Linked DNA regions of Drosophila melanogaster. The protein of the gene in region 1 purifies or fractionates together with the protein of each later gene. This does not show direct contact. Each region holds a gene or a part of one and is shown on either strand. Other genes may lie near its edges. The genes, in order: CG6171, Slu7 and CG1532.

The links.
Region 2: the proteins of CG6171 (region 1) and Slu7 purify together in Drosophila melanogaster (affinity purification with mass spectrometry, with the first as the bait; one large-scale study listed by BioGRID). This does not show direct contact.
Region 3: the proteins of CG6171 (region 1) and CG1532 purify together in Drosophila melanogaster (affinity purification with mass spectrometry, with the first as the bait; one large-scale study listed by BioGRID). This does not show direct contact.

The regions. Positions count from the first base shown.
Region 1 is NT_033777.3:15,362,258-15,365,936, forward strand, and holds CG6171 (uncharacterized protein), read right to left. Parts: upstream 1,601-3,679; 5' UTR 1,512-1,600; coding exon 1,120-1,511; intron 1,059-1,119; coding exon 895-1,058; coding exon of another isoform or gene 887-894; exon of another isoform or gene 841-886; coding exon 629-840; 3' UTR 539-628; downstream 1-538. Other genes in the region: Trax (translin associated factor X), read left to right, coding at 1-280, 331-514; CG34404 (uncharacterized protein), read right to left, coding at 2,187-2,319, 2,378-3,088, 3,150-3,451, 3,514-3,647. UniProt on the Drosophila melanogaster protein: Displays apurinic-apyrimidinic (AP) endonuclease and 3'-5' exonuclease activities in vitro.
Region 2 is NT_033777.3:29,037,016-29,040,771, forward strand, and holds Slu7 (Slu7), read right to left. Parts: upstream 2,057-3,756; 5' UTR 1,976-2,056; coding exon 1,375-1,975; intron 1,312-1,374; coding exon 1,083-1,311; intron 1,027-1,082; coding exon 843-1,026; intron 779-842; coding exon 68-778; 3' UTR 43-67; downstream 1-42.
Region 3 is NC_004354.4:21,026,681-21,030,436, forward strand, and holds the start of CG1532 (uncharacterized protein), read right to left. Parts: upstream 1,682-3,756; 5' UTR 1,596-1,681; coding exon 1,500-1,595; intron 1,273-1,499; coding exon 1,223-1,272; intron 1,165-1,222; coding exon 1,058-1,164; intron 342-1,057; coding exon 1-341. Other genes in the region: CG1529 (uncharacterized protein), read right to left, coding at 3,577-3,756.

The DNA.
Region 1 (3,679 bases):
CCAAGAGCGTTTCAGATTGGCAGGCCATTCAGGCGGTGATGCAGTACGTCGAGGAGAGCAGCCAGCCAAAGGAAGAACCAACTGAAGGCGAAGATGTTCAGGCTATAGCTCAGGTTGAGAGCCCAAAGAAGTTCCAGTTTTTCGTAGACCCCACGGAATATATACTTGGACTTTCGGATCTTACTGGTGAACTGATGCGCCGCTGCATAAATTCGCTAGGCAGTGGAGATACAGACACCTGTTTGGACACCTGCAAGGCCCTGCAGCATTTCTACAGCGGGTTGGTTAGTTCTCCCTTAAGAAACTCAATTAACTTCCTATTGTTTTCAGTTACATCAGTCTAAACTGTCAGAGAGCCCGTGAACTATGGCGTAAGATCACTACCATGAAGCAGAGCGTTCTTAAGGCCGAGAATGTTTGCTACAATGTAAAAGTTCGCGGCGGAGAGGCTGCAAAATGGGGCGCCACTTTTGATCAAAAGCCAGCCGATGAAGTTGACGAGGGCTTCTACTAATGGAACTCCATAGACATAAGTTTTCATCAACAGAATATAATATATATATATAAAGCCTATTATTCGGCAAATGGAACGTATCATCTAAGTTAACAGCGAATTTGAATTTATAGTCTAATCATAGTCATCCCCACTTATTGGTTGGCTATCAAACTCCAGCTCATCATCCTCATCTTCGTTTATGTCTGCGCCTGGACGGTAGTCCGCATCCCTGTCATTGTCGCCACCAAAGGGTTCATCCTCCTCATCCGTCCCCGAGTCATCGTCGTTCTGCCGTTGGGCTCGCCGTTGACGCAGACGATTTCGAATGTTCTGCGCGGAATTGACTACAATGGGCTTTAGCCAATTTGAAGCCGAAGTATGCCAAGCCTTCTACTTACAATCCGCAGGATGGGAGTAATCCTGGAAGTGAACTGGGTTACGGCGATAGCATGCGTTACCGAAAGGACAAGCTGGAGTTCCGAGGGGTGGCGCTGGAAAGTTTGGTCGCCGGTAATCCTGATCCCCCGGATGAGCTTCTGCACTACGATGAGCTGGATTTCGCCTGTCATTGGAAAAAGGTATATTTTTAGTTGGTAATATGGGAGTTGGTTAGTGTGAATCACCTGTAGCATCGTATGCCGAAGCGACAAGAAGTCCTAATACTGCTTGAAGATACGGTAGACTCGTCGGCGGCGTCCTGTGCATTGCTATTAGTGGGCTCGGTTTTTACCATCGCAGCTGCAGGTGAGTTTCCATTGTCCGCTGGTTCGGCTTTAATCTTGATCGCAGGAGTAGTGCTTGTGGGCTCATCTGCATTCTCCACTGGCTCAGCTTTTATTTTCATAGGAACTTCAGGATTTGTTTCATCTTTAATGGACGCCACAGGCTCCTCCGATTTTACGCGCTTTCTTAGGCCGTTTTCTGCGCCAAAATTTGCGTTGCAATTGTGTGTGATATCTTCAGAAGATTTTCGTTTAGCGCCACTATCGGCTGTAGATGCATCTGTGGCACTCATTTTAAGTAAATTAAGTTAAATTTTCAAAACATTTTTATTTCACAAGTACTCATATACTTGATTCTGGTGATTTGCAACACTACACGAAATGGTGATGGATGCTTAAGTTAGTTTCATTAGCTTATCGATTAATTATTGGAGCCAATTTCAAATTCGTGAATTTTATCGAGTTTTAGTAGACGTTTTATATTTTGTACAGTTTTAAATACATATTGAATCATATAACAAGCAAAATGCGAATACATTGTATAAATATAGGATCCCGTGTATGCGTCTTGAATAACTCCTTAGTTTGTCTATTCGTATGTGTGTATATGTAATTGCTTGTGGCCCATAGACGGATGCTCCAATCCCACGGATCTATGGATAGGTTGGTGGAGCCTTGCTCATGGCACCTCTGAATATGTATGTATTTGAGTATGTAGTTACTGCAGCCTTATCTGCGAGGCAGGGACACCGCCCAAGCCCCAGCCGACTGCAATTAAGTCGCATGGCACATTCGTGATACTGTCTTGGTCATGGCGGATCCACGGCGACTGCTGGGCGGGTGGTCATTGCATTAAAGGTAAAATAAGCGATATGATCGAGAGGGAAAGATCTTTTGCGGGATATGTGACAAGCGCGCCCGCTCCACGCCCAGTTGCTCAGTCCTCCTGGAAGGTCGTCATGCGTTTCCTACAGAGTAGTCTCAGGAACATGGTTATGGCCTTGCTCGTAGTCCAGCCGCAGGTCAACAATCTTCTGCTCTAGCTTCCTCACCCGCAGCTGGTACTTGCGCTTGGTGTGATCTAACATTTGGCCCAGATTGCTAAAAGGGAAATATGAAGAAATTATGTATGAAACAGTCAAAATAAAACGAATCTTACTGGTTGGATTTCTGCAGTTCACGCACGTTCTGATGCAGTTGCTCGTATTTTTCGTCGAAGGCCTTCTGCGAAGCTGTTACATTTGCCAATAGCGTCTGTATGCGACCCTTGAGCTCCGTTTCTCGAGTTAAGGCCTCCACCAACTGCTGCTCTGTGAGAGCCGCATGCTCCGCCTCCGAATACGAGACCCGGTTGTTTGCCTGTAGCTGCTTTAGGGCTTCGTGGAGTATGCCCACTCGTTCGTTGGCGTTCTGCCGTTCCTGCTCGGCCTCTTCCATTTTTGTCTTCAGCTGCAAATTCGAATCCCGCAGCTCGAGTATTTCTTGCATAATCACTGCTGTCTCCAAGTCAATGGGTGACTTCTTGTCCGCGCTCCGAAGTTCGTGCTCCTTTTCCAAAGCCAGGCGCTTTCTTTCGTATATGTCGCTGAAGGGTGATTCCAAACTGACAATGGTATGCTGGACATTGGAACGACGTCCCTTCAGCTTGGAGACGTGGTAACGCAGGCGGTTGTCGTCGTCGGCACACCACGGGCGGCCAGTTTTTGGGGCATCCTCTGGGCCCAGGTTGATGTTGTGTTGCCACGGTCCCAGGCTGTTCTCACAAACGTTTTTCTCGCTATCCAAACGGGCTAGCAGGTGCCTGGCCACCGCCTCCACCGATCGTCGACTCTCTTCCGCTGCCACTGATTTCTCCCCCAGCAGTGCCAACCTGGAAGTGATGAATTGTGAAATAGGGACAACAACCCGCGTCTTATGGTGATTGTACTTACTTGCTTTCGAGCAGAGCCAACATTACGTCGTAGGCCTCGATGGCGCGATCACTGCAATTAAGCGCCAACTGAAGAGCAACCGCATTGGACTCGTACTTTCCGCATAGCAGATACAGATGCTCAGTGTGCTCCTTGCATTCGTCTAGCGTCAGTGCCAGCATGGTGTTTCGCATCTCCAATTGTTCAACACGTCGTTGCAGTCGCTCCAAGTCTTTGCTCAAATGTAGGGGCTCCATAAAGTTCTCCATATATAGATTTTGCTCCTTTAGCTCCGACACCAAATGTTCGACCAGATTAATTTGCTTAAAATTATGGGTTGTATGGGTTGAAATGTATTCTCTGAATAAAGTTTTGGTCAACACACCTCGTTGCTCAATGAAGTATCTTGGGATGGATCTTCTCCGGATTCATGTTTGCTGGCGCACCGCAACTTAACCCGTTCAGCCATTTTCGGTACCGCTGGAATGCGTTTTTGCGGACTTGTCAAGGAAGTGCAAACTGAAAGCATCTAAATGTGTAACCATTCTTTT
Region 2 (3,756 bases), about 14 Mb from region 1:
GCCCCTAATGTTTTACTTGTTAAGATTAGAAAGTTTTTATATAAGAGAATCAGTTGTACTTTATTGCCTACATAAATTGCAGCATGGGATCTTCTGCCCTTGGCCGCTTCTTCTTCCACTCCTCGATCTCGTCCTCTGTGGGCGCCTTCACATCATACATGCTGTTATAGGCTCGTTTGCGATCGTCCAGTTCCTCGGGAATATCTTTTTCCTTTGTCTTATCTTTGTCCTTGGTCTCCTTGTTCTTGCCTTTTTGTTTTCGCTGCTCCTTAGCCTTCTTTTTCTTCTCGCGCTTCTTCGACTTCTTCTTGGTCTTCTTCTTCTCAGGTTTTACCTCCTCCTCTTCGGATGAGGAGGGTTCCGAACTCGATGCTGAGTCCACTTCGGAAGTGGGCCTTTCAGGTGGCACTTCTGGTACCTTGAATTGGCTTTGAGCTGCAGGTTCTGTAGTAGCCGCTGCAGTGGAGCTCGTAGAATGATGTTCCGAGTAGCCCTCTGGCTCCTGCATGCCCACGCAGTAGGAGTTCTTGATGAAGGACTTGCAGCACTTGTAACCCCAGCGTCCGGCGTTCCAGAAACTGCCCCAAACTGTTGTGTGATTGTTGATATACACATCCTCCTCGTAGATACTGCGCGCTTTCGGTTTCTCCACGCCCTTGATAACCTTGCCGCTGCGAGAGTACTCGATGTACTCCTCGGTCTGCGCCAGCAATAGCGACTTTGGTGGAACCTGTAGATGCTCTTCGCCACCATATTTCTCCACAATGTGTGTTTTGGTCTGGAAAAATAAAGGAAATGGATATAGTAATGTTTCCAAGAAATTTCCATTTTCAATTACTTACACTTGACTTGAACTGTTCCTTCTTCTGCTCGTACTCCTTCTGAAGCAGCTCCAACTTAGTGGGCTCCGCTAGCAGATGCACATCAACCCCCTTGCCATGAGCTTCCCAGGCAAACAACTGGGCGGTGGCTTGGGCTGTAGTGTCTCCAGAAAAGCGTACAAAGTTCTCGCCAGCAAACTCAGCTCTGCAAGAATGAGTAGTTAAGAAATTTCTTTATATGTGCAACTTTTTGTTACTCACTCCTCTTCGGGGACAGCAGGATTGGGATTGTCACGCATGGAGCGCGTCTTGGGATCATAGTAGGCCGAGTTGGGATCCAAGTTCCTCAGGTACTTCGCCGTATCCTCGCGGATACGCAAGTTGCGCACTGTAATTCGCTGTTTGGAGTCCACTTTTGTGCCGGGCATGTCCACTTCGTCCACATATTTGTCCTCGTTGCCTTCCTCATCGGATATTTCAGCATCGGGATCTAAGGGGTACATGCGAATGATATTAATTCAACTATAAGCACTCTGAATTCACTTTTACCTACCATTTTTCAGCTTCTCTGCTTTAAGTTGTCGCTTGGCCTCTTCCACCTTTTCGTACTCCTCAATGATCTCTCTGTGATTGGCCGGATCGTAACTACTCCAGCGATCTCGTTTCTCGTCATAGTTCACCGCCGCTTCATTGACCAAATGCTCGTCGTGCACGACGATGGATTCAGCGTACTTGGCTTGGACTTTCCGCGGCCGCTCCAGGCAGTCCTTTCGTTTGTGTGTGACGGCGCCACAGTTCTCGCAGGCTCCCTTGCGGAACTTGGTAATGATGCGTGCGGTGTTAAGTCCTTTGGGCGCCCTCTTGTCCAGCTGTCCTTGCTCGTCCTCGTGCTGCGGTCGCTGATGCTTGAGAGTGGGCCCAGCCGATCCGTAATACCATGGTGCATTCGATATGTACTGCGGAATGTGGGGATTTATGTCGCGACCCTCCTCGTCGACGGCGGCCGGAGCTGTTCCCGCTTTTCGAGCCTCCTCCAGCTCCTTGGCCTTGCGCCAGTCCTCACGGGACTTCTTCTTGGGTTCCTCCTCGGCATCCTGGTCGTGCTTGCTCAGAATGATCTGCGAGACCGGCGTGCGCATGGGCCCCGAGCTCATATTGCCTGATTTTATTTACTAGATAATATTAGTTGTAATATTTATTTCTCTTTTATGTTATCGGTTATCGAAAAGTGTTGGCAAGCAGAGAAGCACTTGGCTTAACAGCGAAAGTGTTGGACAATCTGTAGCACCCCCACGATATGTATCGCCCACCTTGGCACATCGCTAACGTTTTTCCAATAAGAATTGGAGTGAAGTGAACATTTTTATCAATAGTAATACGCGAAACAGTTTTAAAGCCAATAAGAAAACTACCCAGCAATGCAACGGAAAATGGTGGACACTGTGATTTTGTGAAACTGTTCGAATTCGTTGGAAAACCAAGGAAATTGCCTGGGAAAACCAATAAATTTATAACGCTGTGCAAACGGGTGCGTTTAACTGTGTGCGTGCGTGTGTGTATAAGCGCATACATATGTCGAGCGTGTGTGTGTGTGTGCTCTAGTGTGAAGGCATCCTTAATTTTTTCGCACACATAGCTGAACACTTTTTCTCTGATATACAAGTTCCTGCGCGCGCATATGAATTATTTTATTCTTTTTGTTTCATTGTTGATTGCAATATTTTCTGCCTATTTGGTGTCGTGCATACCCATTTCACATAAACATTGTAAGGAAGCGTTTCAATAACTTTTCATTTGAAACGTTAAACATTTTCTATATACCAACAGTAGAGAGAGCAAGAAAATAAGAGAGTGGTATATGTATATAAAATCCATCGATGGGACTTTCTAAATATTACTCCGTGTGTGGTGCTTGATTGTGAAGCGAAAAATGTCAGCGAAACGTGTATCTCATAGCCAAGCGGAGTGGTTAGCATACAATTTAAAAAACAATGAAATATAATATTTGAACTACGAACATAGTGCGCATTTCGTATGTTTACCAACACTGCGTTCGTTAGTGTCAAGCTGACAGGTGGACAGTACGGCAACTCTGCCAGCTGGAAGACCTTCGTTTTCACCAATTAGAAAATTACAAATTTTCCAATTGGACGGGTTAGTTTAGTTAATTGAGCGCACTTATTGGCGTTTCGTCAGGTGTTTCCAATTGGAGTGGGCGTGAGACGCGCGTGTATTGGTGGGTGGCAGAAGTGCAAGTGAGAGGCATCATTAGAAATTCTTGTTGTTCTCTCTTTGTTGTTTAATCTGTGGAAAAAAGCTGACTGCGTGTGTATGTGTGTGTGAAAGTGTGAGTATATTTGCCATACATGAACACAAAGAATTTGCATAAAAAAGTGAGCAAGCAATGGCAATATACATATGTAATCAAAGCTAAACGACACTGAAAGTACCCAAGATTGTGTGCGAAGAAAAAGGGCAACTAAGTATGTACTTGTTCCCACCAAATTGCCAATTAGAAAACGCGTTATATCCCAATTGGATGCGCATTAGACTAGTGGCGAGACTAGTGTACACTAAACAACAATCTGTGGAATTGCGAAATAAACAAAGTTGCACTCCTTGGAATGATTTATACGCTAGAAATATTACCATAGCAGATGATGGTCGCGCACTATTTTCGACTTTTGTTCCACGGACTGTTGTCGTTTGAGCGATTGCCTAATGTACACACACAAACGGGCTGAAACACAGTGGCAGCCAAAATAGTAGTGTTGAATAGTAAAAGATGAAAAGAATTGATATTTTTGTAAGCTACAGATTTTCGTTTTGCAAAAATGAATGTACATTTTTTTCTGTGAATCATGAATCCTTTCAATTAAACCCAGAATAAGTCAGTAACATACTGAATCATAGTAGCGAAATTATTAATATTATT
Region 3 (3,756 bases), on another chromosome or scaffold:
CTTAGCTCTATTAATTGGCTCTGAGATCTGGGTGATCTCCAGTGAAGCCTGCTGTTCACCGTAACTCAAACGCACGCTTGCTTCGTTCTCCTCGAGAACTTTCAGTTGCAGCAAATCGTGCCAGTATTTGCGCGAGTTTTGAAGATTGCTCACATTAAGCTCCACCGATTGGACAGGATCAGAGCTGGCAGAGGCCTGATCGATCACATAGAACTTGTAGCCATCGGGCGAGGTCAGCAGACTACCGGCTTTTCCAGACACCTGTGTCACAGGATACGAGTGCTCGGCGGCGCGGGAAAGGATATCCTTGGAGTGTATGGTCACGCCCCCAAAATCATTGCCTGAATCGAAAAGAATAAGTATCGATTAACAGGATTTATAAGTGTTAAAATTAACTTGGGAATTAATACAAAGGGAATCATTAAGTAGTATATTTCAATTACTGTACTGTACTTTTTCAAACATCTTCAAACATTCAACTCACATACTTTCGTTTTTAGTTCATTTTGTGATAGACAGAAATCTTCATCGCGGTTTTAACTAGAATGACTGATAGATTTCGACCTACTTATAGATAACTATTTCCGTATTCATAAAGAAAAAGATTAATAACCTACTATCTTTACGTACTTAAGACAAGTCACTTATCGAATAGCTATTATTAGTGAAACACTTAATTATGAAGTTGTCGAAGATAGAATAACTCATTTGTACTTTAAGATAAGCCATCCCAATTTTACTAGTGTTAGATTAAATATTTTGGATTATAACTCGGTAATCATTTATAGGGTTGTACATTTTTTCAAATTTCCAGAAATGTGTACATATGACTGCTCAAAGCTTAAATATGCGATTTAGCCTACCATCACTGAAGTTTCAAACTTTTTCAACTCTCAATTCTTATTAAAAACGCTTTAATGCCTGATAAAATAAATAGGTATTTTAGGATGATATTACTTAGCCGCTGTAAGGGTTAAAACGTTCCCGCTTGTTAGCTTGCACTCAGGACTTTTAATCCTCATGTGAGCCTAACATTTTTATCCGGTATGTGTCTTACCCATTTCGTAGCTGCTCACTCCATAGTTATACGTGAGTTCGATGACGAAATGCGAACTTTCGGGTCCATAACCCACCATTGTTTTGCTCCACCGATTGTCATAGGGCCTGTGAAGGATTAACACTACCAGTTAGTCCTGTCGCAACACTCCGAAATAGCACTCACCCGTTGCAAGCTGCGTCGCATCCCTCCTTGAACTCCTCATGCCGCAGCACCTGTTGCCGTGCGAACGAGCGGGATGGCGATAGAAGGGAGCAAAAACGATGAGAGAAAAATGAAATTTTAACACAGTCATTATATGACATTATCGGGCATCTGGGCTTTTTAATTAGCAGCCGCGCGTCGTTGACACGTTGTCCAGATAAAACTACAGCCAGACACAACAGCCTGCGATAAGGAAGTCTGCCGATTTCTGGCGATACGCCCGCCACACCCAGCTTACCGTCATTCCCAAGATTTGCCGAAAGAAGAAGGCGTTTTTCGCCCGATCTCCGATTTTGAACACATAGTGCAGGGCGCGTCCCGATATGGCCGACATCTTTGTGTTTATCAGCTGGCGTTTATTCAGCAAGTGCTTTCCGATCGAATTTCGGCCTTGTTTATGTACATTCCGTTTCAGTGTGGCCGTGCGCAGAACAGCAAATATTCCCAGCGACGGGAGCTTTTGGAAGTATCGATATTTTTTAGTTTAGACTAAATAATAATAAATTTAAATACACTGTAAGTTTTAAATTATAAAGTGCGCTTTTTGCTGATTGACATCTACGAGGAAAAAACTAATGACTATCGCACCTTCAAAAAACGAATATCGGAATTTACCTTTTGTGACACAAAATTTTACACTTGACAAATACACTTTAAAAAAAGAGTATATCCAAAATGTTGTCACAAAAGTCCTTCCATGAAAAGCAATTATCGTCAACAGTTTTATTAGGCACTTAAAATATGGAGTAAGCGAGCATATAAAACGTATAAAATACGAAGTAAGCGAACATATAAAACTATTTAATACATTGTAGTAGCAAGGATAAAATGTCGTGAAAGTAAGATATTTAAAAATTTTCGCTAATGCGTCCTAGCCACATTTGCATGATAGTTCATTGGATATACACTACGCGTCATCAGATTAGCGCCCCCTGCATGGCTCCGTTCATTTTTATTTTCTGGTTTTGCCATTGCACGAAAATTCATCAATGTTGTTGTTTTTTGTTCACTGACATTCCCTCTCTCCTTGAGGATAAAAAAAAGGTCCTAAGGTAAGGACAACAAAATTTGTTATGCTGTTGAATTGAAAAGTTTGCTTTAAGAGGAACCCTGTTATCCCTGCAGGAAATATACAATATCATAGCATTCTATTAATGCTCATAATCATAAAATTTCAGAAAACCCGCCAGATGTCGCAACCCTATAATAAACTTTATTCAAAAGAACGAAACTTATGGAAAAAAAAAATAATGGTGGCAATAACCTTGTCTTTACCGCGGCAGATCGCAGGTCCATACTTCGAATACCTCCCAATTCCCACGACTTCTCCGCCAAAATTCGAGAAAAAGTGTTGAAAACCAGATCAAATCTTTGATTCAAATGGTGATTAAGACAGCTAAACATAAAACACGAAAAACTGAAAATAAAACCACCTCTCAATAAGTTGCGAAAAAAAGCGGGTCTGAGTTTTGCTCGAGCTCATTTGACTTGGTCTAAGGAGTGGCGTCGTATTTTCGGACAAGAAGAAATTTAATCTGGAGAAACCAGACGGCTTTTTTCATTACTATTATGATTTGCGTACATTTTGGATCGCTGTCACAGTCGGGTTATAGGTAAATTGCAGTTTTAAACACCAAAAATGAACGCAAAAGATTATAATTCAAAACTGCATTTCCCTACTTTAGAAACGTTTTTGGAAATTTAGAATGACATTTTCAAATTGACAGTGTCTCAATCCACACTGCACGTTTGGCAAAAACATGGATTCCATACTACTACCACCATACTACTACTATATAATAGATAACGTGTGGGTATGGTTGGCTAGGAAGGTATACGAGGGTGGTAAACAATATGCCACTCAAAACGAATCGTTCACCGGAATAAAACTCGATTGGTCTGCGATTACTTTGGATTACCTACAAAAAAAATATATGATTCCCTTTCCAGACGAATGTGTGAAGTCCATAATTTCCTTTAAAAATATTCTAATTTAAATATTTAAGTGTTAATCATCCCAATTTCTTTCGAAATGAATCGAACCAACTTAAATTATCTTAGGGGGCGTTATCCTGATAACCCAATTTTAATTAACCCATTTATGGATTTTTTTTTTACTTAAATAAAAATCTATAAACAAGAAACTGCATCCTATATAAATTTTACATTTATAGAATTGTTCAACGTTTGAATGAAAAGCAATTTTCAAAACTCTAGCTTTAACAGTTTTCTAAATATCTCAAATCAAAGATTTTTGCTCAAGGGGCGCTAACCTGATGTATGTAACCGGACGTATATGGATAGGTTATAGTTGATCATAAGGCTTTCGAAGGGATAGGTTTGTAGTCATGGAAATGCCCTTCCAGTCGCGCCGAGTCTTGCGATTCTGCGTCCTGCTCTATTTTGTGCTGCCATTCCGGATCGAGTGCATCTTCCTGCTCTAGCTTGCACTGACTTGCCTCCAGCGGATCCGGTTCCGGATCGTAGGACTCTTG